4 linked regions of the Saccharomyces cerevisiae S288C genome follow. The gene in region 4 interacts genetically with the main gene of each other region. Each region holds a gene or a part of one and is shown on either strand. Other genes may lie near its edges.

What was found.
Region 1: of BOI1 (region 4) and CDC42, extra expression of one rescues a mutant of the other (dosage rescue), as found in Saccharomyces cerevisiae (2 studies listed by BioGRID).
Region 2: of BOI1 (region 4) and RHO4, extra expression of one rescues a mutant of the other (dosage rescue), as found in Saccharomyces cerevisiae (2 studies listed by BioGRID).
Region 3: of BOI1 (region 4) and RHO3, extra expression of one rescues a mutant of the other (dosage rescue), as found in Saccharomyces cerevisiae (3 studies listed by BioGRID).

Annotation. Positions count from the first base shown.
Region 1 is NC_001144.5:601,776-607,579, reverse strand, and holds CDC42 (Rho family GTPase CDC42), read left to right. Parts: upstream 1-2,792; coding exon 2,793-3,368; downstream 3,369-5,804. Other genes in the region: EST1 (Est1p), read left to right, coding at 1-155; BNA5 (kynureninase), read left to right, coding at 461-1,822; ECM22 (Ecm22p), read left to right, coding at 5,117-5,804. UniProt on the Saccharomyces cerevisiae protein: Involved in development of cell polarity during the cell division cycle, and essential for bud emergence. Affects signaling in the pheromone-response pathway through the STE20 protein kinase.
Region 2 is NC_001143.9:546,608-552,093, forward strand, and holds RHO4 (Rho family GTPase RHO4), read left to right. Parts: upstream 1-1,608; coding exon 1,609-2,484; downstream 2,485-5,486. Other genes in the region: DYN1 (dynein heavy chain), read right to left, coding at 1-1,318; TRM2 (tRNA (uracil(54)-C(5))-methyltransferase), read left to right, coding at 2,841-4,760; 40S ribosomal protein eS21 RPS21A, read left to right, coding at 5,050-5,073, 5,396-5,486. UniProt on the Saccharomyces cerevisiae protein: Plays an important role in cell growth. Required to keep the uninucleated state. May be involved in the organization of the cytoskeleton which affects microtubule functions.
Region 3 is NC_001141.2:136,964-142,859, reverse strand, and holds RHO3 (Rho family GTPase RHO3), read right to left. Parts: upstream 3,109-5,896; coding exon 2,413-3,108; downstream 1-2,412. Other genes in the region: pheromone-regulated protein PRM5, read left to right, coding at 1,291-2,247; RPI1 (Rpi1p), read left to right, coding at 4,983-5,896. UniProt on the Saccharomyces cerevisiae protein: Plays an important role in cell growth. Required to keep the uninucleated state. Modulates morphogenesis during bud growth via directing organization of the actin cytoskeleton and the position of the secretory machinery for exocytosis.
Region 4 is NC_001134.8:62,216-70,378, forward strand, and holds BOI1 (Boi1p), read left to right. Parts: upstream 1-1,660; coding exon 1,661-4,603; downstream 4,604-8,163. Other genes in the region: YBL086C (uncharacterized protein), read right to left, coding at 1-387; anaphase promoting complex subunit CDC27, read right to left, coding at 4,954-7,230; ALG3 (dolichyl-P-Man:Man(5)GlcNAc(2)-PP-dolichol alpha-1,3-mannosyltransferase), read right to left, coding at 7,536-8,163. UniProt on the Saccharomyces cerevisiae protein: Functions redundantly with BOI2 to promote the fusion of secretory vesicles with the plasma membrane at sites of polarized growth.

The sequences.
Region 1 (5,804 bases), on a different chromosome or scaffold from region 4:
AAGATGGCGTTTCTTCTGAGTTGGTAAAACATGCTGCTTCACGAGGGAGAAAAACTATCACTGGCCCACTATCCTCTGATTTTCTCTCATATCCAGACGAAGCAATTGATGCTGATGAGGACATCACCGTCCAAGTGCCAGATACTCCTACTTGAGAGAACAAGTAATGGTGAGGGAAAAAATCATAATATGAAATATATTATGACGACGTCAATTAACGTCGTCCACGCCTGTCGTCGTCAACCCACGAAAATATGGGGGCGGTTTTTATAACGGTTATTAAAACGACGGGATGCCGTCTACGGCACGGACAAACCCATCGCTTTGGAAATAGGTGACTGCGCTTGAAAAACATAATTATTTATTAGCATAATAAATTCAAGACAGCAAATATATATGCTGTCAATACGTACATATTAAGCCTAAATATTCTGTGGAAAAAAGAAACAAACTGGTAATTATGGAGAAAGCTTTGGAATTAGACGGAGAATATCCGGAATCTCTGAGGGATGAATTCAACATCCCTACATTTAAATCCATGGGACTATCGTCCGACGATAAGCCTGTGACGTACTTATGCGGGAATTCTTTAGGTTTGATGCCGAAGTCAACTAGGAATTCAATTAATGCTGAGCTAGATGCGTGGAGCGATTGTGCTGTGGAATCGCATTTCAAACATCCTGAAGAAGCCAGAGGAAAGGTGCCTTGGGTCAGCATTGACTTACCTATTCTTCCACTACTAGCCCCCATCGTGGGTGCTCAAGAAAATGAAGTTGCAGTAATGAATAGTCTCACTGCAAATTTGAATTCATTGTTAATTACGTTTTATAAACCTACTGAGAAAAGATTCAAGATCCTTTTTGAAAAGGGCTCCTTTCCATCAGACTATTATGCTTTCTACAACCAGTGCAAAATTCATGGAATTTCGGAACCTGAGAATGTTTTTATTCAGATCGAGCCACGCGAGGGAGAGACTTATATCAGAACTCAAGATATCCTGGATACCATAGAGGTAAATCAAGATGAATTGGCGCTGGTCTGTTTGTCAGGTGTTCAGTATTACACGGGGCAATATTTCGATATTGGCCGAATCACCTCATTTGCCCACCAATTCCCCGACATATTGGTTGGATGGGATTTAGCACACGCTGTAGGGAACGTCCCATTGCAACTTCATGATTGGGGTGTTGACTTTGCCTGTTGGTGTTCTTACAAGTACTTGAATGCCGGGCCTGGTGGAATTGGTGGCTTATTTGTCCACTCGAAGCATACTAAACCAGACCCTGCTAAGGAAAGTTTGCCAAGATTAGCTGGTTGGTGGGGCAATGATCCTGCTAAGCGATTTCAAATGCTGGAAGTATTCGAGCCGATTCCAGGAGCATTGGGATTCAGGCAATCTAATCCAAGCGTTATTGACACAGTGGCATTGAGAAGTTCATTGGAATTATTTGCGAAGTTTAATGGTATTAATGAAGTTCGTAAAAGATCGTTGTTGCTGACGAACTATATGACGGAACTGTTGGAAGCCTCCAAGTATTACAAACACCCTTTAAGGATCGAGAAATTACCATGTTTTTTTACAATATTAACTCCAACAAGCACAGATGAAGAACATGGCGCCCAATTGTCACTTTACTTCGATTCTGACACTGGAAAAGAGGATATTATGCCCAAAGTTTTCCAATATTTGCATGACCATGGTGTCATTGGCGATGCAAGAAGACCAAACGTAATTAGATTGGCTCCTGCTCCCTTATATAATACATTTTCAGATGTATACATTGCGGTGAATGCACTAAATGAGGCGATGGATAAGTTGTAGTCCTAGAGTGACCGCATCGCCTTCATCTTCTTTTGGATATTATATATGACGTAGTTTGAAATTCGTATACTTACTGATAGCGAACCTATAAATTTATACTTTCTTTCCAAGAATTAAAATAAATATCTGGGCCCGTGTATTACTTACCAGTTGCCGTGCATAGTCGTGAATCTTCTTTCATTTATCAACCTTCTTCCAATAATGAAGCTAACTTATCAGTGGTAGTACTGTTGAACGAAACAAGCCGGAACTCAAAAGGGTAATTTCGTGAAAAACAATCATCTACGGTATAAATAACAATTTAATTTACGTCTCTTTCGAAAATGCTCGTGTAGCTCAGTGGTTAGAGCTTCGTGCTTATAGCAACATTCGGTTTCCGAAGTTTCTGTGCCAAAGACCTTTCAAACAGGCCTTTAAAAGCAACGCGACCGTCGTGGGTTCAATCCCCACCTCGAGCACTTTCTCTTTTTTTTTTAAAAAAAGTTGCATTATTTCTATCAACTGTTGTAGCTACGTTACACCTAATTTTGTATTGTAGACTGTTAGATAATCCACATATACAGGTAAATACGGCACATTGTCTTCTAAACATCGCATTAAAGATGTCTTCCACCGTCGATTCAAGGGTCATTCAATACGGGTAATACTGCTTCCATTGGGCCCTTCCAAATGAAACAAGATACGGGAAAAAGTGATAAAAAAAAGCAAACAAGGTTGATTGATCGATGATAGACGCGATTCTTGGAAAAGGCAAGAGCAGCGTTTTGATAAATAGGTTCCAGGTGTACCGAGATATACTGATTATCCTTCTCTGTCATTCTTCACTTTTTGCAATAGGTTTCCTTTGTCGCAAAAAATTATATTCGTTATTTATTATACTATTCTATTTTCCTGAGGAGATAGGTTAACAAACGAATTAGAGAAGCAAAACTTATAAAACAAGAAATAAACGTATTAGCTCTTCCACAAAATGCAAACGCTAAAGTGTGTTGTTGTCGGTGATGGTGCTGTTGGGAAAACGTGCCTTCTAATCTCCTATACAACGAATCAATTTCCAGCCGACTATGTTCCAACAGTGTTCGATAACTATGCGGTGACTGTGATGATTGGTGATGAACCATATACGTTAGGTTTGTTTGATACGGCCGGTCAAGAAGATTACGATCGATTGAGACCCTTGTCATATCCTTCTACTGATGTATTTTTGGTTTGTTTCAGTGTTATTTCCCCACCCTCTTTTGAAAACGTTAAAGAAAAATGGTTCCCTGAAGTACATCACCATTGTCCAGGTGTACCATGCCTGGTCGTCGGTACGCAGATTGATCTAAGGGATGACAAGGTAATCATCGAGAAGTTGCAAAGACAAAGATTACGTCCGATTACATCAGAACAAGGTTCCAGGTTAGCAAGAGAACTGAAAGCAGTAAAATATGTCGAGTGTTCGGCACTAACACAACGCGGTTTGAAGAATGTATTCGATGAAGCTATCGTGGCCGCCTTGGAGCCTCCTGTTATCAAGAAAAGTAAAAAATGTGCAATTTTGTAGTCATATTAGTATATGCCCATCTTTTCTTAATCTATATCTAAAATTAACTTATATATACACCTTCCTATCCTTTTATTATCGTTGTATTTCATTTTTTCGCTTTGCTCAGAGTTGATTCTCTTTGTTTCTTGCGCCAGGATCATCCGTCTGTTCAAGGCGGAGTAGTGCAAAAAAGTCGAGCCGTCAAGCCCCAAACGTTCAATACTTCCATGTTCTTCAACGCTAAACGCGACATTTGCGAGTCCTACCACGTCTTCTCCGTTTACGGGCAAAAACACCTCTTAACATCAAAAATTTGGCTTTCGTGCTTTTTTCTGAAATATATTCGTTGCATAGACACGGTATGCATATGAAACATTCAGGCTAGCAATCAATACTTAAACCCTTTACGGGCGTGCATGATGTATCAGGAAACCAGTTTGAGAATGTCGCCCACCAAGCTCCATGGAAAGGCGCAAACCAATTACGCGGAACACAAAAATGGGCCTTTTTTTGATCGCCTCAAAGGCCGGACCAGGTTCGTTAAACGTCTGTAGAGGTGCCGAACAATTTTTGTCTAGAATAAATTTCCATTTTTCTGGCATTTAATTCTAGGCTTTCTGGTCTCTTTGTTCTTGCAGCTAGCCCATTGGGTGCTCTTCAAAATATGTCAATATCACCTTGATTTTGAAAATGCGCCCGTAAAATTGGACTTATGCTACAAATATATTCTACAGGAAAAGATCCGCAAGGTCTGCTTTAGCGTAAAAACGACCTCCCAGTATTTTATATAACCTCAGCCATTTCACTGAATGATACATAGTAGCATATATAGCTAGGCCTAAATGTATTTTTTTTTACAACTTTTTAGATCGCTGCGTGAAGGATGAAACTTCATATGAGTACGGACGTTTGAAAGGGTAGAGTGGCGCTAGCATAGAAATGCCATTTCTCGGAGGTGTCATCATTCGAAAAGAACTCAATTTTCAAGCGATTGAGATTCAAAGGCAAACCGATGCCTCCTCATTGGTCACATCTTCATGTAAACTGTGGCTGCTTTTTTTTCTAAATACTCTATGACTACAGCTTTCCTTTGTACAAACTCAAGTTTATTTAATCGTCTTTTTTAATGTTTATGTTCAACATACCCGAAACCACTACAAGACGGAAAATACTAGAGAAACATCAACAAATGAAAAAAAAAGGCTACAATCCTCGGATGAAACTGATAAAAACGAGCACAGTATATGCCGAGTCGTAGCATTTAACGTACTAACACTACTCGCCAAATCATAAGAGCTTCATGCTGACGTGTGTATCTATATCGCTTTTACAGATCCTGCAACCGACAGAGCCGAAAACGTAATTGGTGACTCGTTCCTCGTTCTTGTCGGAAAAATTTAAACGAGCGCGTTCGATAAACTCAACGAAGGCAAGTTTGAACAATAGATGTTGGTCGTAATCATTCGTTCTTCGACTTTTATAGCCTTTTTTTTAACTTAACGAACTCGTACTATCTAATAGTTTATTTCCCCTTGTTTTTTTTTGTTACGATTGGGGAAAAGCAAGGGTTCCCTGCGTCTACGATTACATCATCTACTAACTAGTCACCGAAATCGATTATCGTCGAAGGAGAAGCAACCAAGACCTCCACTTTTCAAAGGCACAAATAACATTTCGCCTTTACATAATATAGAGGAGTTAAGTCGACGGTTTTTTTCATTTAAGGTTTATATTTCGTTTATCCATAGATCTCCATCTAACATAACATGACATCCGATGATGGGAATGCTGGACAAGAAAGAGAGAAGGATGCTGAACTGATTGAGGTTGGGGGCAAGAAAGTGAGCAAGACTTCGACAGGGAAACGGAAGTTTCATAACAAGTCCAAGACCGGTTGCGACAATTGTAAAAGAAGAAGAGTAAAATGTGATGAAGGCAAACCATTTTGCAAGAAATGTACAAACATGAAATTGGACTGTGTTTACAGCCCTATTCAGCCAAGAAGAAGAAAAGATTCTTCGTCGTCAAAATTTGCATCAGCGGTCCACGATAGGGTAGGCAAGAAAAATCTGAGTGACAATGCCATCATGTTACAACAACAACAACAGCAACTTCATCATCAACAAGAACAGCAATTTCGTCAACAACAGCAAGTTCAGTTACAGCAGCAACTGTTGCCACATGTTGGTACTGATGAACAAAGCAATTCCCCTAATAGCGTTCCTCCATCCGTATCCAATAATATGGAGAATCTTTTGTTACCGCACCTATTAGCGAGTTTAGTGAATAACACCAGTAACAGTACCAACAGCAGTGCAAATGGAGCTGAAGCGCATAATAATATAACACAAACAGCTCCCAGTTCAATGATAAACAACAACCACCCAAACATGGCCCTACCAGGGAATTCGCCATTGAGTATACCGATAACACCTAGTTTTCAATCAACGGCCA
Region 2 (5,486 bases), on a different chromosome or scaffold from region 4:
TTTCATCCAAAGTAGCCTTTACGGATGCACTTGTAAATGTTAGCTTTTGTATAAGTAGCTCCTGTGGTGCTCTTTTCCTAAGATCCTCTCTTATTAAAAGATTGACATCCTGGACAATATCATCCCATTCTTCTATCATGCCTGCTGATTTTTCATATAAACCCAAAAAAGAACCATACTCTAGCTGAAATAAATCTGAAAGATTACTTAGAATTGCATCCATGACTTCTTGTGAAATTTTGTCCATCAGCACAACAAATCTTTGAACTGGATAACCTGAATATCTGAACTTCTTCAAAGAAGATGCTAAAACAGGAAATAGTTCCTGCAAGTCCTCAAGATTGCTTGCCTGGCGAACCTCATCGATAGGGATTGACGATAGAAATTGGTTATATTTATCCGCTAGCTTAAATTTATCTGAAAGTGAACCTTCATTCAATAAATTTGTTAAATTATGAAATCTCTTTGCGTTTGTTAGAACGGATAGACACACCTGAAATTCTTGGCTTTGTGTTTGTTCAATTAACGACTTCAGTACTTCGTAGAAATTCGACCAAAACTCAACTTCGTCTAAAAAAGAACCATTTTTTATATCTCTGTCAATGGCTAATGTTTGTTTAAGAACCAAAAACCATTTGTTTGCAATGCTTTGTAAAATGTTCAAAAATCTCATACTTTCCAAATCATTACTAGGAAGGTAGTTTGCATAATCATGTGAAGTAGCCCCTTTTGATACAGCCAATTTGATAATGCTAGGGACCATCGCTAAAAGATCTGGCGTTTCAATTGAGGTATGTAACTGTTGAAATTGTTTAGAAATGTCGTCAAGTTTCCTCCTCGTTTTATCTATAGTTTCGACAGAATATGTCTTTGTATCTGATTTTATCAATTGGCCAAACACAGACGATACGCCATGTGTGATAATTGAGGCCAGGTTCCCCGCATTTACTGGACCAGGTAAGTATATGGCACTTATTTGTGTTGCAATCGGTTCTGCATCCACAATAACACTTCTAGATTTAATAATTAATAGAGTAGAATACTTTTTATTCGCCAAGTTGGCATCATATATAGCCTCTTCACCAATGTCTATTGTAACTATTGTTCTATCCAGCTCTTCAAAAAGGAAGACAAACAACGTGTCGAACTCTCTCCCATCCAATAATCCCAAAAAAAATTGAAACCGTTCAAGGTATTGACAATGTAGATAATCAATGAATGCTTGCTCATTCTCTTTGGGAGAATTCTTTATACCCGTTACAGTAGCTGCAACAAATTCTATCAGCTCATTAGCAAGTCTTGCCTCATTCTTGCACATTGCCTAAAAAACGTTTTGACGTACTTTCCAATTTAAGCTCTGAACGAGTATTATTGCCCTTCTATGTTCTATGCTTTCTGTTAATTTTTATATGTAATGTTTGTTTACCTTTCATTAGCTTATTTATTAGAATCCGTACAATGCGACCTTCCGCGCATCAATTCGGGATGATCTGATTAAGTAGTTATAGCCTTACGTTAAGACGACAAAAGACATGATAAGCATCCCTCAAAAGTTACAGCAAACTTAAGTCAAATAGGTCCAAAAATCTCCAATAGTAACGCTTTTTCATGAATACACTATTATTTAAGCGAAAAGGTGGCAATTGTGGGAACGAAAGTAACATAGTTTCGCAGGGATCGCCCTCAAGTAGCAATCTTCCTGAATCACCTGGCACTTTAGATGAAAAGAATCTTCCCAGATTGCCTACTCCATTCGCTAGAAGCCTTTCTACCATTCCTAGTTATGAGCAGATGAAACGTACAAACAAACTGCCAGATTATCACCTAAAGATTGTTGTTGTGGGAGATGGCGCTGTAGGGAAGACGTGCCTGCTGATATCTTATGTCCAAGGAACATTTCCGACTGATTATATTCCTACTATTTTCGAAAATTATGTCACAAACATAGAAGGACCCAACGGTCAAATTATAGAATTGGCATTATGGGACACTGCCGGCCAAGAAGAGTATAGTAGACTTAGACCGCTTTCATATACGAATGCAGATGTGCTGATGGTGTGCTATTCTGTTGGTAGTAAGACATCGCTTAAAAATGTGGAAGATCTCTGGTTCCCAGAGGTTAAGCATTTTTGTCCTTCCACTCCAATCATGCTAGTCGGCCTTAAATCAGATCTATATGAAGCTGATAACCTTTCAGATCTGGTGGAACCAAGTTCAGCAGAATCCTTGGCCAAGCGTCTGGGGGCATTTGCACATATTCAATGCTCAGCACGATTGAAAGAAAATATCGATGAAGTATTTGAAACTGCCATACACACGTTACTTTCCGATTCATTATATGCTCCCAGAGAGCCTACACATACAATCAAAAATCCCTTTAAAAGAAATACCACCAGATCAGATATCGATTCTTCTACTGGAGATACCAGCGTCTCTATTTCCGGAACGAAAAGATTAAGAAAAAACAAGTGTATTATAATGTAAGAATAATGATGAAGATTATTCTGTTGCCCATTCTGTACGCACTTACAACATTTGAAAAGTGGCAAGAAAAAATACACACATTTTACTATCTTCCGCTATCTTATTTATCAAGACGAAACAATTAGAACCTGATTTAATTTAACTTCCATTTTTCTGAATCTGGTGTGATATACCGCTCCAATATATTCGAATTTATCCCAATTTTATCATAATAATTCATTTTAATTCGATGTCATAAAGTACTAATTCGATATTAATCTAGCCTAATTACATTAAATACTTAATAAAAGCTTCTGTGACATAAAAGTACAAATCTGTCATTTTATTTTAGAGGAATAGTTTAGGACAAAGTCATTATGTACGAACAGTTTGAATTTTCTTTTTTTTTCTTCGAAAATTCAGACAATAAGGTTAAATATAAAGCTCATCTCATCTCATCGATAAAACGCTGGAGTATTATCACATGCATGCGTTGCTTTTGGACCGTACAGAAGTCTATATTTAAAGCTAGGTTTTTCGCTTGCAGAAACTTTGTCAAGAAGCATAATTATAAACTAATCAGCACCATGACTGGAAGTACTGAAATGGTACCACCAACAATGAAACATACCGTTGACAACAAAAGGCTTTCGTCTCCTTTGACAGATTCTGGTAACCGCCGGACTAAGAAGCCAAAGTTGAGAAAGTACAAGGCCAAAAAGGTTGAAACAACTTCTCCGATGGGTGTCCTAGAATTTGAAGTGAACGATTTGTTAAAATCTCAAAATTTGTCCAGGGAGCAGGTTCTGAACGATGTTACTTCAATTCTAAATGATAAGTCCTCAACAGATGGACCTATCGTCTTACAATATCACCGAGAGGTAAAAAATGTCAAGGTCTTAGAAATTACTTCCAATGGCAACGGGTTGGCTTTGATCGATAATCCTGTTGAAACAGAAAAGAAGCAAGTTGTTATCATACCGTTTGGCCTGCCCGGTGATGTAGTTAATATCAAAGTCTTTAAGACCCACCCTTACTATGTCGAGAGTGATTTATTAGACGTAGTGGAAAAATCTCCAATGAGAAGAGATGATTTAATTAGGGATAAATATTTCGGGAAATCTTCAGGAAGTCAATTAGAGTTCTTAACTTACGATGACCAACTAGAATTGAAAAGAAAAACAATTATGAATGCCTACAAGTTCTTCGCACCAAGGTTAGTTGCTGAAAAACTTTTACCCCCATTTGACACCACCGTAGCTTCCCCTTTACAATTTGGCTACAGGACCAAAATTACGCCTCATTTCGATATGCCAAAAAGAAAACAAAAGGAACTATCAGTAAGGCCTCCTTTAGGATTTGGTCAAAAGGGTAGACCTCAATGGAGAAAAGATACTTTGGATATCGGCGGACATGGTTCGATATTAGATATCGATGAATGTGTGCTTGCAACTGAAGTTCTCAACAAAGGATTGACTAATGAAAGAAGAAAGTTTGAGCAAGAGTTTAAAAACTACAAAAAAGGCGCGACTATTTTACTGAGAGAGAATACCACTATTTTAGACCCTTCCAAACCAACTTTAGAACAGTTAACCGAAGAAGCCTCTAGGGATGAAAATGGTGATATAAGTTATGTCGAAGTCGAAGACAAAAAGAACAATGTCAGGCTGGCTAAAACTTGCGTTACCAATCCTAGACAAATTGTCACTGAATATGTTGATGGATATACTTTTAATTTTAGTGCGGGTGAGTTTTTTCAAAATAATAACTCTATCCTGCCAATAGTGACCAAGTATGTCCGTGATAACTTGCAAGCTCCCGCTAAAGGTGATGATAATAAAACAAAGTTTCTAGTAGATGCTTATTGTGGATCAGGTCTTTTCAGTATATGCAGCTCCAAGGGCGTAGATAAAGTGATTGGTGTAGAAATTTCCGCTGACAGTGTCTCTTTTGCAGAAAAAAATGCAAAGGCAAATGGTGTTGAAAACTGTAGATTCATCGTTGGAAAGGCTGAGAAACTCTTTGAGTCTATTGATACTCCAAGTGAAAACACTTCCGTTATCTTGGATCCACCACGCAAGGGCTGTGACGAATTATTCCTAAAGCAATTAGCCGCATATAATCCAGCCAAGATTATTTACATATCGTGTAATGTCCATTCCCAGGCACGTGATGTCGAGTACTTCCTCAAAGAAACAGAAAACGGTTCCGCCCACCAGATTGAAAGCATAAGAGGATTTGATTTCTTTCCACAAACGCACCACGTTGAGAGTGTGTGTATAATGAAGAGAATCTAATTGCACATATAAAATATCTATCACTATGTATATCTTTCTAGAGTAAATGTCTTCCTGTACTTTTAAATCCGTACATTTTGAAAATTGAAAATGTATCTCAGATTCATTTTTCAATTCGAAATGAACGAAAATTACACTAAAAAGGTAACGTGTAGAGTGATATTATGCACAACGATTTTTTGAAAATTTCATATACGTTATTCTAATGTTTAGTAGAGAGTTTAGCGGAAGATATAAGGTGATCAGGCGTAAATTAACCACATACAAACCATAGAAACATCATACCAAAATGGAAAACGATAAGGGCCAATTAGTATGTTCGAGAAATCTATAAGATTTTTTATATTTTAACGGATGAATGGAAAGTGCATGGCTGTTTAAATAAATGTAAGAAAGATATCATAATGCAAACAAAACGTAGGCATCCGCAATGTATGGAAAACATACTTATGGTTACCGATAATAAGCAACTCCGAAGGTGCCATAGACCAGCTCTGAATGCAGCCTACAAAAGTTGAGCAATTTCTGACAAAATTCTTCGATTACTTTCTTCACATGTATTAAATCATCACTCACCACCACCAACAATGTGTTTTTTAAACTAGCATAACTAACAAAGATTTGTTTTACATCAGGTCGAACTTTACGTTCCAAGAAAATGTTCTGCTACCAACAGAATCATCAAGGCTGATGACCACGCATCTGTTCAAATCAACGTCGCTAAGG
Region 3 (5,896 bases), on a different chromosome or scaffold from region 4:
ATGGAAAAACTGTTTTTACATATTGGAGGGTATATTGAACAGAACTGTGTGCATCCTTTTCAAGTTATATAACGTGAGAGATAAAATATCAAGTATGTCATGTCAGGGTAAGAAACATCAATTGAAGTGAGTCAACAGATCCAAGAAAAAAAAGCACTAACTACGTCACTATACCATGAACTATTGAAAATTGGTAGTTTAGTCATCTCAGATTCCATTCATTGGAAAAAACAATTGACTCCTAACAATTAACTTCGGATTAGTCATTAATTATTTCAATGCTTGACTCCTTTTTTGAATAGTCTCACCCGGATCGTAGTCACATGATCAAATAAATTATTGCATTACCAATGGCTTCTGTATTAGTTACTGTCCAGGAAAGGTCTCAATATAACCGGTCACCTTATTTATGATAACAATTTTTAACCATTTACCCTTTATTTTTGCAAAGTTATGACCTTTGGAATGCGGCAGAAAAAAAAAAAATTGATGAAGTAGTCATCAAACAGGTTTCGGCGAAAGACAGTACAAGAATTGCCAGCTAAAGCTTTTCTAATATGTTATTCCATCAAATATTCACGCTATTAATGCTATCTGATCGATTACTTGGTAAAAATAACCAAATGAGTATTGGGTCATATTTTGGAGAAGCGAAAAGTGCACGGCATACTTAAAGAAGAGAAAAAAATTCTTAATCAAAGCTTAAGCGGCATCGCATAACTCTGACAAAAGTATAATCATAGTATGTGGTTTGAGTAAACAACAAGACTGGCAGGTAAGTTTTTTAAATGAATTTTCTTAGCAGGGTTATTGCGGCGCACGTCTATAGGTGATTTACCTTTGTTCCTGAATATACATGATATTCTTAATGCGACAGCGCCCAGGGAAGCAAAGAACGCCGACGAAAGAGCGGCGGAGCAAAAGGCGCAAAGTGACACCTTCCGATCCTGGGAAGTGATCGGTTTCGCTGTTCGGGCTTTTCTTAGACAAATAAAGTTTAATTTTCTTGCTTTCTCTTTTTGGCTAAGAATTCTATATTGTTCTTGAAACAACTTTGTCACACGTTCTAAAAATAAAATGGAAAATGGAAAATGAAAAATTAGAGAGAAAATGTATTACTGAAGAATGTGGTAAAGACATTTGAAAAATATTTAATATATTACCTGAGATCATTCAAAGGAACGCATCGGTGCAAAGAAACAGTTATAGCATTAGAGTTAAGTCAAGAGCACTCATTATTACTTTAAAAGGTCGTTGAAAATAGAATAAATTGACACTCAAAACGCAAGAATGACAGTAATCACCATTGCCAAGAGAGGCCTTCCAAAATTAACCACTTCCACTTCTTCGACAACAACTGCCAGTTCAAGTAGTACGATAACATCTGTTGCTTCTTCTTCATCTTCTTTACCACTTTTGTCCAACTCTACATCCTCTTCTATTATACCAAGTATTACTCCTCCCTCTAGAAATGGTAATCCTTATATTTTGGATTCCGGGGATATGCCTAATGGAACAGTTTTCATTGTAGTGGGGGGAATCGCGGGAGTGATTTTTTTGGCAATATTGCTATGGTGGGTAATAACAACTTATTCTTCGCATAGGTTGACCAGAAGTGTTCAGGACTACGAATCAAAGATGTTTTCCACACAACATACCCAGTTTTACGGCGATTCCCCATATATGGATTATCCCGCCAAAGAAAATTTCCAAGATCAGGTCCATATCAGCGAGTCCGATATTAGTCCCGGAAATAAGGATGAATCGGTGAAAGATGCACTTGTATCTCATACTAATAATGAAAAACCATTCTTAAGTAATTTCGAAAGGCCGCTATTCTCTCTTGCATCCGAATCCAACAGAAATTCACTTTTCATTTCACCAACAGGTGATATCTTATACAAAACAAGGCTATCTAAACTTTACCAAGAAAGCCCTAGATTATTACAGAAACCTGTGATTATGACAAGTGATAATGTATCTACAAATTCTCTGGTGTCTACAATCTCTTCATCATCCGCATCGTCGCTCGATAACGGTAATGAAAAGGAGGTGGGTGAAGACATAAGGAAACCCGCAAAAATTGCATCTTCACCAAGTCGAAAGCTGCTTAATTCACCAGAAAGTGATGGTAGCGTAAATCGTAACCATAGTAAGGGTAATTTGTTGGTCGTACAGTCCAAAAGAAAACCTACACCTTCGACTTATCTCGAGCACATGCTGGAGGGGAAAGAACAGGATGAGTAAAAACTTTTATGATATTTTGCAATATTTTTTTTAAGCAGTGGTAGTAATTACATAAAAAATATAAAATAGTAGGAGTATTATTAACTTCTATAACTTATTATATTATTTGTTTAGTCTCTCTTTTTGGGTTCTATTCTTTTGTGTGTGCGTCCGTGTCTTATTATATTACATAATGGTACAGCTGGATCCACTGTCACTTTTCACTTCGGTTGCTACTGGGCCCGCGGTTAAAGCAACTCTTGCGGCTTCTGTGAAAGCTTCGTTGACACCTTTATTCAGCTTAGCGCTACATTCCAAATAACGTAGCGCACCGATCTTTTTAGCCATAGCTAGACCTTCTTCATAACTTATCAGGTTTTTGCCGTTTGAGGTGCTATTTATGTTATTTCCGTTGTCGTTAGAAACGCTGTTATCCTGTTGGATATTGTTCGGTGTGATTGCGTTAGATTCATTTTCATTGTTTCTTAAGTCACACTTTAGTGCAACTAAGACTAACTTGACGCCTTCACAATGATCAGTGATTTCACCCACCCATTTATTTTGGACATTTTCTAAAGAATCGCGTGAATCAATACTGAAACATAACATTATACATTGCGTATCTGAATAAGACAAGGATCGTAACCTGTCAAATTCCTCTTGGCCCGCAGTATCCCACAACGATAGCGTGATATGTTTACTGTCAACGAAAATATCATGGATATAGTTTTCAAAAACAGTAGGCTCATAAACTTCGGGAAAATAACCTCTGGTGAAAACATTCAGCAACGAAGTTTTACCACAGGCACCGTCGCCCAAAATAACGATCTTTCTTTCGATCGGTTTATTTGACGTTGAAGCTGACCCACATAGAAATGACATGTTTGTTTCCCTTTACCTTGTGCTACTATGGATTTTAATGAAAAACTTGTTGTTATAAAGTAAAAAATGCTGACCAGAGCTAGAGATGAGAACGATAAAAAAACGAAAATCAATGGTTGCCTATTTTCCAGTAAATTCAAAATAATACATGTTTTTTCTTTCTTTTTCTTTTCTTTTTACTGTTTACCAATTTTCAGGAATGTTAAGAAAGATAAAAGAAATATACAAGATGCCATTAACGGGTAATGGCACCAGTATATCTATGACGGGTAATCCTGTTAGTGGATGTCAAAAAACGTTCTTGGGGTTTCCCGGACGCCTTACACTATTTTGTAAAAAAGCTCATCCACACCCCTCTCCTTGTATTTCTTATCTATAATCTACTATTTCTCGCGTAGGTGCGGTAACGCTGTTCCAAGAAAAAAGTTGGCCGACGACTGGTTCTGGGCCGGGCTCGACCGGAAGTGGTAAGTGGCCTCAATTTGAGTTTCGCTTACTCCTTCCATTCTTACAACACACCCGAAGTTTAATTCACGTGACCAGATAAGGGATTTATTATATGTTTATTGTAAAAAAAATAAGGTAGATAGACATATTACATTTCCTCGTGCTTATCGAAGTATTTTTCTTAGACATCTCGCATGACCACAATGCTGGCTCGAAGGCATTTACTCTTTCCTTGGGGAGATGTGCTTACTGTGATTGATTATGTATTCTTGCGTGCATCTGCAAATCTGCGTTGACTAATTTCGGAGTCTTTTAAACACAGAAGCATTACAGGCCCCTCTCCTCACTTGTGCCCAGTATGCAAGTGTGCTTTCCTGTGAAAACTCCTTCATTTTCTTTTCTTACGCATATGCATAGTCGGATTCCAGCTATTTCCATAGTAAAGAAGAAGAAAAAGTAAATACTTCCTTTTCACATGGGCCGGCCGATGCAGGTCCTCAGGTACTTCGTTTATAAGCTTATATAAGCATGCAAAATTAAACGAGGTGGCTGCTTTAAGAGCGTGCAGAATATAGTCACTTACTACCCTAAGTTAGGACTTTGTCTTAGGAACAAACACATCAAAAATGTGCAGAACAACAAGCCCGCGGGGGTTTTTGCGGTTGACTACTCCTGCTTCATGTCTTTTCTCCCCTGCCATTTGTGCTTCTGGATTTGCTTGAAGGTAACCTTAAAGGATCTGCGCATCTTTCTCTTACGAAAACAAGTATAAGATTTTGCCTGGGCAAACTTAAATTACGGAAAAAGGAGTCGTCGAGAATGTTGCCCTTCCACATTTGGATTAGCTGATAAACGTAAATTGGGGGGGGGGGGGGTCGGTTAAATTTTGTCGACGGGAATGGAATTTTCTCTGGTATTTGCCGCAGCTTGCAGATAGTAGAGCCGATCTTGTGAGGTTAACACCGCATATGGCATTCTGTTGCAAAGTTAAAATGCGTCACCCACCCTAGCGCCTAGGGTCGAGTACTGTTTTAAACTTTTTCAAGACCGGGCGTACCATTGTGCTTGTTCCTTACTTCGTTATTTTCTTGCATATTATATTGGTTGAGATTATTTCTATGGACTATATATAAATAAGGGACGGTCGTATTGTTCTTTTATGTCTGCATCCTAAAGAGTATTTTTTTTTATAGTCTTGTTTTCTTGTTCAAATTAAAGAAAGATCTAATAGTTTTCGTAATACTGAAACTACTCTTTTTTTTTCCTTACAATCTGACTTTTTTTGTATTTCCTTTTTTTCCGTTTGGTTATCCAGACTACAGTTCATGGTAGTATATCATATTATCGTATTCGTTTAACTATTTCTCAGTCCTTTTTTTTAAGTCTTTTTTTTTTTTTCTCATCATTTTATTACTGATATTTATAAAATGTACTTGGAATATCTTCAACCGAAGTTGAACCTAATGGATGAGTCTAGCACTATAAGCAAAAATTTCCCTGATTATTCACCAAATTTAAACACACCCATTACTTCAAATTTTAATGAAGAAACGGGTTCGGACTGCTCTTTAGTTACTCCAAGAATAATTTCCAGTTCAAATTCGAATTCGAACTCCAATTCTAATTCGAACTCCAACTCCAACTCAGGCTCTATTGACGAAAATGAGCTAAACAACTCTAATTCATCCTCCTCGTCTGCAAGACAGATAAGGAAAAAATGGAAAGAGCCTGAGGATATAGCATTCATTACTACAATAATGAATAATTCTCAATTACTAACATTCGTAGAATATTTCAAGCCTATGAAGAATTTTTGGAAAAAAATTTCAAAAATCCTATTCCAACAATATGGGTACGAGAGAAACTCTCGTCAATGTCATGATAGATTTAAAGTCTTATACACAAAGTCTTTGAAAGTGCATCCATCAAAGAAATCCAAGCAAAAGAAAAAAAAATCAAAACAAGAGGCAGGCTCAAACTTAAATTTTGATCCGTCAAAATTATCTAGAATGCAGTATTTGCTAGTGCAGTTACAAAACACTTTTAGTTTTGTAAACGGAAACATTATACTCAAGTCGCAAAAAACATTGAAGCCGAACAAGAATGGTACTAATGATAATATTAATAACCATTATTATAATAATTGTAACAATAACAATAATAATATTAACAATAGTAACAATAGCAACAATAATAATAGCAATAATATTAATAGGAATAGTAATCATAGTACTAATGTTTTTAGTACACCAGAGCATATTCAGTCAAGTATCAACCTCGATAAATTAGAATCTTTGCCAGCTTTGGATACCAAAGGAGAACCATCCTTCATTAGCCCGGC
Region 4 (8,163 bases):
CACTTTGCCATTGGGACTAGAACTAGAAGTCAACGAGGAATTCGCATCAGCAAACTCAAAAAAAACATCCAACACCAAAATTTTCTTCAAGAATCTGCCGTTTTTATCCAAGTGGAGCTTCACCAGGATTGGTTTGTCTAATGAATAATTCCATTGTGCTCTATGATGTTGCACATGCACGTGTTTTGTTGTACCTCTACTCTGGGTCGAAGTGGTTTGATGCTCACCGTCCAGAGCCACTTTGTGTCCCGACGTACCTGTTCCATCCTTCAAACGCCATTTCGTGTAGCAATAGCCAGAAGATTGAGGAATATTTACCAATTCTTTGATTTGCAGGTCCAGTAGAAACTTTGGTCTTTTTGCCTTGCTATTATGATTAAATGGCATCTTAATATTTTGTGAGCGGTATTATACCTTTCTTGGGTACCTAATACTTCTAAGCAACCTGAATGAAATTAGAAGGTGTTCACTCCTTCATTAGCAAGTGAGCTTTGCCGTTGTCACCGTACTTGGTCATCTTAAGAGATACAAAGGGGGGGGACCCTGAGAAAACTTCTCCCGAAAAAAAAAAAAGAAATATACCCACGCGTTCTTTACCCGGAAATAAATATCTTGATTTAGCCGCCGAGATTGTTATATATGCATCCAAGACCTCTGAATGGTGGCTAATTAAGACACTTAACTGATTACGTTTCCATCAACTGCTATCATGTTCGCAATATTTGGGCAAGAAATGAAAAAGAAAAGTTACCAACTCTTCTCCCTTCTACGAGCGGTGAATACATGGGAGCCGAGCCGCATGAAGATGAAAGTAATATTAAAATTAAAGTCTCTATCGAAGCAGTGACTCTCTCCCTATCAGCCGGTAAATTTTTTTAACGAAGTGGAGCTAAATTATCAGAAAACGTAGAGCTGGTATGCTGGTAGATCTAAACGAAGTCCAGTTTACATCAAGATGATATCGTGCAATATTTACTACGGCATGACTTAACAGTACAGTCATGATTTAGGAATTTGAGTGTTCTCCGGGGTTTTGCAGATAAAAATTTGTTTTCTTCTCTGCCATTCCTGGAGATTTTGAAAAGAGTTGGTAATGTGTTTCAAAAGAAAAAAATACATTCCAAGAATAAATACCAGGATTTCGTGACAAAAATTAAAAAAAAGGGAAGTATGGCATGCCTAGAAATCTTTTCTGGAAAACTTGAAGCATATCATATAATTGTATGAACTTGTCCTTCAAAAGATGTTACCAAATATTCAAGAGTATGTGAGCTTTCTATTCTATTGACGCGTAAGAAAGGCTATCACGTGTGGGGGGGAGAGCTCAGCCACATTGCACTACTTTCGAAACCGCGTAGTCGGAAACGACATTCCCCCGTACCAAAACAAACGAAAGGACGTGAAAGGTAAATGAATAACATGGCACTAAAAATTTGGCAGAAAACGAAAAAAAAAAGGAAAAAGAAACTGAAAACTATACGCTTCCCTTAGGATACTTTCTGATTTACATCCGAAGAATTGGGTGCGTCAATTAAAGGCAATTCTTCGCTCTATCAAGCAGTTTTACTGCGTCTGTCTAAAGAAACAATTGTTTTACTGAATTTCAACAAAGTTCTAACTCGAGGTGACCGGAGGCCACTGTAATAATAAAAAATAGAAGATGAGTCTCGAAGGAAATACCCTAGGCAAAGGGGCCAAATCTTTTCCTCTGTATATTGCGGTAAATCAGTACTCTAAACGAATGGAGGACGAGCTCAATATGAAACCAGGTGATAAAATTAAAGTCATTACTGATGATGGGGAGTACAATGACGGCTGGTATTATGGGCGCAATTTGAGAACCAAAGAGGAAGGTTTATACCCAGCGGTATTTACCAAAAGAATAGCAATAGAAAAACCAGAGAACCTGCACAAATCACCAACCCAAGAGAGTGGAAATTCTGGTGTTAAATATGGAAATTTAAATGATTCTGCGAGTAACATAGGTAAAGTCTCCTCGCATCAACAGGAGAACAGATATACATCATTGAAAAGTACAATGAGCGATATAGACAAAGCCTTGGAAGAGCTAAGAAGTGGTTCAGTTGAACAAGAGGTATCAAAATCGCCCACACGCGTGCCCGAAGTTAGCACTCCACAGTTGCAAGATGAACAGACTTTGATTCAAGAAAAAACCAGAAATGAGGAAAACACGACACATGACTCGTTATTTTCTAGCACAGCGGATTTAAACTTAAGTTCTGAATCTTTGAAGAATATAAGTAAGTCAAATATATCAACAAAATCCCTAGAACCGAGTTCGGAATCAGTTCGTCAATTAGATTTGAAAATGGCTAAAAGTTGGAGCCCAGAAGAGGTTACTGATTACTTTAGCTTGGTTGGATTTGATCAATCCACTTGCAATAAATTCAAAGAGCATCAAGTCTCCGGAAAAATACTACTGGAATTAGAACTGGAACACCTAAAAGAATTGGAAATAAATTCTTTTGGTATAAGATTTCAGATATTCAAAGAAATAAGGAACATCAAGTCTGCAATTGATTCGTCGTCAAATAAACTGGACGCCGACTACTCTACCTTTGCTTTTGAAAACCAAGCTGCCCAACTAATGCCTGCAGCCACTGTAAATAGAGACGAAATCCAACAACAAATTTCCTCCAAGTGTAACAAGTTGTCAAGTGAAAGCTCTGATAGAAAATCATCTTCGGTCACCACAGAATTGCAAAGACCAAGCTCGGTTGTTGTTAATCCCAATTTTAAACTTCACGACCCAGCTGAGCAGATCCTAGATATGACAGAAGTTCCTAATTTGTTTGCTGATAAAGATATTTTCGAATCACCGGGAAGGGCTCCAAAACCACCATCATATCCAAGTCCAGTTCAACCTCCACAATCGCCCTCTTTTAATAACAGGTACACAAATAATAACGCAAGGTTTCCTCCTCAAACAACATATCCACCTAAAAACAAGAACCCAACCGTTTATTCAAATGGGCTAATTCCAAATTCTTCGACATCTTCCGATAATTCAACGGGCAAGTTCAAATTCCCTGCCATGAATGGTCATGACTCGAACTCTAGGAAAACAACACTGACATCTGCTACTATACCTTCTATTAACACGGTTAACACAGATGAATCTCTACCCGCAATTTCAAATATATCTTCAAATGCTACATCTCATCATCCGAACAGAAATTCCGTTGTTTACAATAACCATAAGAGGACGGAATCCGGAAGCTCATTTGTTGATTTGTTCAACAGGATTTCAATGCTATCGCCAGTCAAGTCAAGTTTCGACGAAGAAGAAACGAAACAACCTTCAAAAGCTAGCAGAGCAGTTTTTGACTCAGCACGCAGAAAGTCGTCTTACGGACATTCAAGAGATGCCTCACTTTCTGAAATGAAAAAGCATAGGAGAAACTCTTCTATATTATCTTTTTTTTCTTCAAAAAGTCAGTCTAATCCAACGTCACCAACCAAACAAACTTTCACTATCGATCCCGCAAAGATGACTTCCCATTCTCGTTCTCAGTCGAATTCCTATTCGCATGCAAGATCACAATCTTACTCCCATAGTAGAAAACACTCGTTAGTTACCAGCCCCTTGAAAACTTCTTTAAGCCCTATAAATTCCAAATCCAATATTGCTTTAGCGCATAGCGAAACTCCTACTAGTAGTAATAATAAGGAGGCAGTATCACAACCAAGTGAAGGGAAGCACAAGCACAAGCACAAGCACAAGAGCAAGCACAAACACAAGAACAGTAGCTCCAAAGATGGCTCTTCCGAAGAAAAAAGCAAAAAGAAATTATTTAGTAGCACCAAAGAATCATTTGTAGGAAGCAAGGAATTCAAAAGATCTCCCAGTGAACTTACCCAAAAATCTACCAAATCGATACTTCCCAGGTCGAATGCTAAAAAGCAACAAACATCTGCTTTTACCGAAGGTATACGCTCTATCACAGCAAAGGAATCTATGCAAACTGCGGACTGTTCAGGCTGGATGAGCAAAAAAGGTACCGGTGCTATGGGGACTTGGAAACAACGGTTTTTCACACTTCATGGAACAAGGCTTTCTTATTTTACGAATACCAATGATGAGAAGGAGCGTGGCCTGATAGATATAACGGCACATAGGGTCTTACCTGCCAGTGATGATGATAGGCTCATTTCCTTATACGCTGCGAGCTTAGGAAAAGGAAAATACTGTTTCAAATTGGTCCCTCCGCAACCGGGGTCCAAAAAGGGGCTAACCTTTACAGAACCTCGCGTTCACTATTTTGCAGTTGAGAATAAATCTGAAATGAAGGCATGGCTGTCAGCCATAATAAAGGCCACTATTGATATTGATACAAGCGTCCCTGTCATTAGTTCATATGCCACACCAACGATACCTCTAAGCAAGGCACAGACGCTATTGGAAGAAGCTAGGTTACAAACCCAGTTAAGAGATGCTGAAGAGGAAGAGGGAAGAGATCAATTTGGATGGGATGACACCCAAAATAAAAGAAATTCTAATTATCCAATCGAACAAGATCAATTTGAGACCAGCGATTACCTGGAAAGTTCAGCATTTGAATACCCTGGTGGCAGACTTTGAGAACTGCAATCATTAGTTACTTCTTGACCAACTTAAACACCTTAATAATTAATATTTAATAGAACATAATATAGTGATATAAAGTATATAAAAATAAAAAGTTTACGAATTAATACAATCAAATTAGACACTGATACTATCAAGAAGTACATCGCAGGAACCGCAGACATGATGTCCTCTTCTTTCAAATTACTGGATATATATATTATTATTATTGTTACCATTAACGTTATTATTATTAACTATTACTATTACATTAACTTAAAAATAAATATGAAACAACGAAGAACAAAAAGAATTATGAAAACATTTAACATGTTTCAATTTGTTATGTTTTGGCCAACCTGCGTTTATTCTTGCATATGACATTTTTGTAATTCATCGATGATAACTTGGTTACCCTTTGGATCCAAATTCATAGCAACAGTTAGCTCCTTGATTGCATCTTTTTTCCTCCCAACTATTCTATATGTTTGACCCAGCAAATAATGGGCTGTGGCATCATCAGGAACGAGTTTCACCAATTCTTCAAAAGTTTGCAAAGCAACATTATATCTTGTCATGGAATAGAGCAACTGGCCCATCTTATATTTGGATAGCGAGGAAGTCGGTTGCAAATGACATGCTAGTTCATAATATTGTAGAGCCTTTTCCTTATAGCCCAGCTTTTCTAAAGAACCACCGCAACAACAGATTAACACAACATTGACGGGATTAATTGACCTTGCCTTTTCAAAATATAACAACGCTTCTTCATATTGACCTAATTTCATAGCGCTCGTACCCAATCCGTAATATGCATTGTAATGCTGAGGATCACAAGCTAGCGCCTTTCTATAGCATGTCTTGGCAGAATCCGAAGAATCGTTGGAAGAATGTTCATGACCTTGCAAAGTATACGCGTATGCAAAATTTGGGTCTAACTGAGTAGCTTTTTCGAAGGCTTTTATTGCGGCATCATGATCCTTTTGCAATGATAGCAAATTACCTATACAACACCATGTTTCGGGCTTATTAGGCATTGTATCCATTAGCCCATTTGCCAAATTTGAAGATTTAACCTTGTCATGCAAATGCCACAGCAAAGTAGAAAAAATTTCCATATCTTTTACCCTTGCCGGTTGTAGGTCTTTCAATCTATTGAAATACTTTAAGGACATATCATAATTAATGATCTCAAAATGAAGTTTTCCTAATTGCACTAGACACCATGGCATTGTGTCTTTAATATGAGATGGGATTTGAGACTCGAACAGTCTTATTGCCTTGAACGAATTGTATTGTGATGACGACCTTAATATTAAAGCGAAATTATACATGATTTCAGGCAGCGTAATTGAATAATCACTCGTTAGTATTGAGTTACTGATTATTAAAGACCTTGGATTTTTCTTGGAAGTTGTTAACCTTCCTGTTGAGGAATATAGGTTTCTTGGAGTTTTGAAAGTTGTTTTATTTATAATGTTATTATTATTATTATTATTATTATTATTATTATTATTATTATTATTATTATTATTATTATTATTGTTATTTTGGTGGTTCCTATCGTTATTTAACAGTTTCGATGGAGGAGTCGTTAAAAGTTTGTTTCTGTTATAAACTTTGGCCAACGAGCTTATTGTAGGCTGTTTGGAGGATGGAGACACTAAGTTCATGGAAATGTTATTTGGTAGCGCAGAAGACGTCTTACTGTTGATTGCAGGGTTTTTAGGAGTTTGAGTATTTTTGTTCTGGCAGGTCCTTATTGATGTGTTCGCTTGTTGCTGCTGTGACCTTGAGAAATGCTGAATGGAAGAAAAAGAAGATGCCGATGTAGAAGGGGGAGAATTAGACGACTGAAACAGTGTATTAACATTATTATTGATATTATTATTGCCGTTTTTGTTTGTTTTTGAATATAAGCTAGGTTGTGAACGAGGTTCGAAATGCGATAGTGATGTAGACGGAAACGATGAAGCTGCATTATTATTATGACTATTACTTTTTTTCCCTGCAATGTCGAAAAAAACCCTCTTGAGATCCACGGTAGCTCTCATTTTACAAATCGCTTCGTAAGATTCCCAAAGGTAAGGATTAATGGCTAATGCTTCAGAATGATAAAATGCTCCCTCCTTAGAATGGTCCAGTTTCATATAAAGATTGCCTAACAGGCAATTCAAAGTGGCCAAATCGGGAATATGGACGAGATTAGAATTCAACACCATATTTATGCGCGTATTACTGCTGTTCGAAGAAAATACATTTATTATTGAGAGAAGAGTGAGGATAGCTTCGTTAACTCCCTGCGAAAGCTGTAAAGCACAACGCCCGAATATGTAAGCGATACCAAGATGATACTCCTTGAATTCTTTGGATATCTGGAACGCAGTGTGGTAGCTTTTATTCAGAAACAGCGAAAGTGCATATAAATATACCGCATCGGACCAGTAAACACTTGATTTATCGAGAATGGAGCATTCAGCATAGAGCAGTTCGGCCAAAAACTCTGCGGTACTGTAGTTCAACTGCTGAATAGCCTGCTGAATGCAGTCCTGAAGCTGTATGATGGTGCTCAAAGCTTGATCATCAAAGCTGGGGATTCCTCTCGAGAGGGTGAACGGTGCTAACTCAGGATTTACCGCCATGCTATTTTTATTATGTATCCTGCACGAAAAGTTCGTGTCGATTTATGAATAGATATGCAGTCACCAAAACAGAGTCTAAAACTCTCACAGCTAGGTATGGTTTTTTGATAAACTTTTCTGTGGCACCTTTGCTTGCACTTTGATCCTTTTGGTTTACTTTCAGCCTGTTCCATCCTTTTGATCAAAAAAAAAAAGGAAAATCAAGCGCGGGTAATAACGGCACCATTAAATACTAGTAGTACTATATAGATGGTATAAAGAAATGATTTAAAACAATACGATTATATGATATTTATACATCTGTTTCAGTTGAGCTTTTTTTCCATAGAGCTGGTGGTACGAAGATGGCTTTTGGCGAGGGCGACCGAACCAGATAGCTGCGTCAAGGCCAATAGAAGCAACAGAACAGTATTCAATGCCAACAATAGCGTGCTTGCTTGTGAGTTTGGTGGATAGGAATTCCAGCACCACTCGTGCAAGACGTACCAAATGGGACCAACGAAGAAGGGCATTCCCGACCAAAAGATCAGTATAGGCAAAGTCCAGTGATACCAGGATAGAAACTGGTAGTGGAGGGACCTTGAAAATAGGACGCCGATGAAGTTGGATGCGATTAGAACGAATGGAATAGTCTTGGCGGGATTGGCATTGAGCACTGCATTTTTCCTCAGCGGATGGCACAGGGAAGACCATAAATCGGGCAGGATGCGAGGGTATCTTGTGACGAACAGTGTGGTGAGCGCTATCAGGTGGCTGATTAAAAGGGCCAAGTGGAACCTCTTATCATTGAAAGCCTCTTCATCCATCATTTGCCAATTGATACTCCATTGGTACATAAACTTCCTGCCGAAATTAAAAGCGCAATGCAGGTACTGTTGCGGAAAGCTGCGCAGGAAGGGCACTGCAACTGCGACTTGCCATGCAATCATCGCA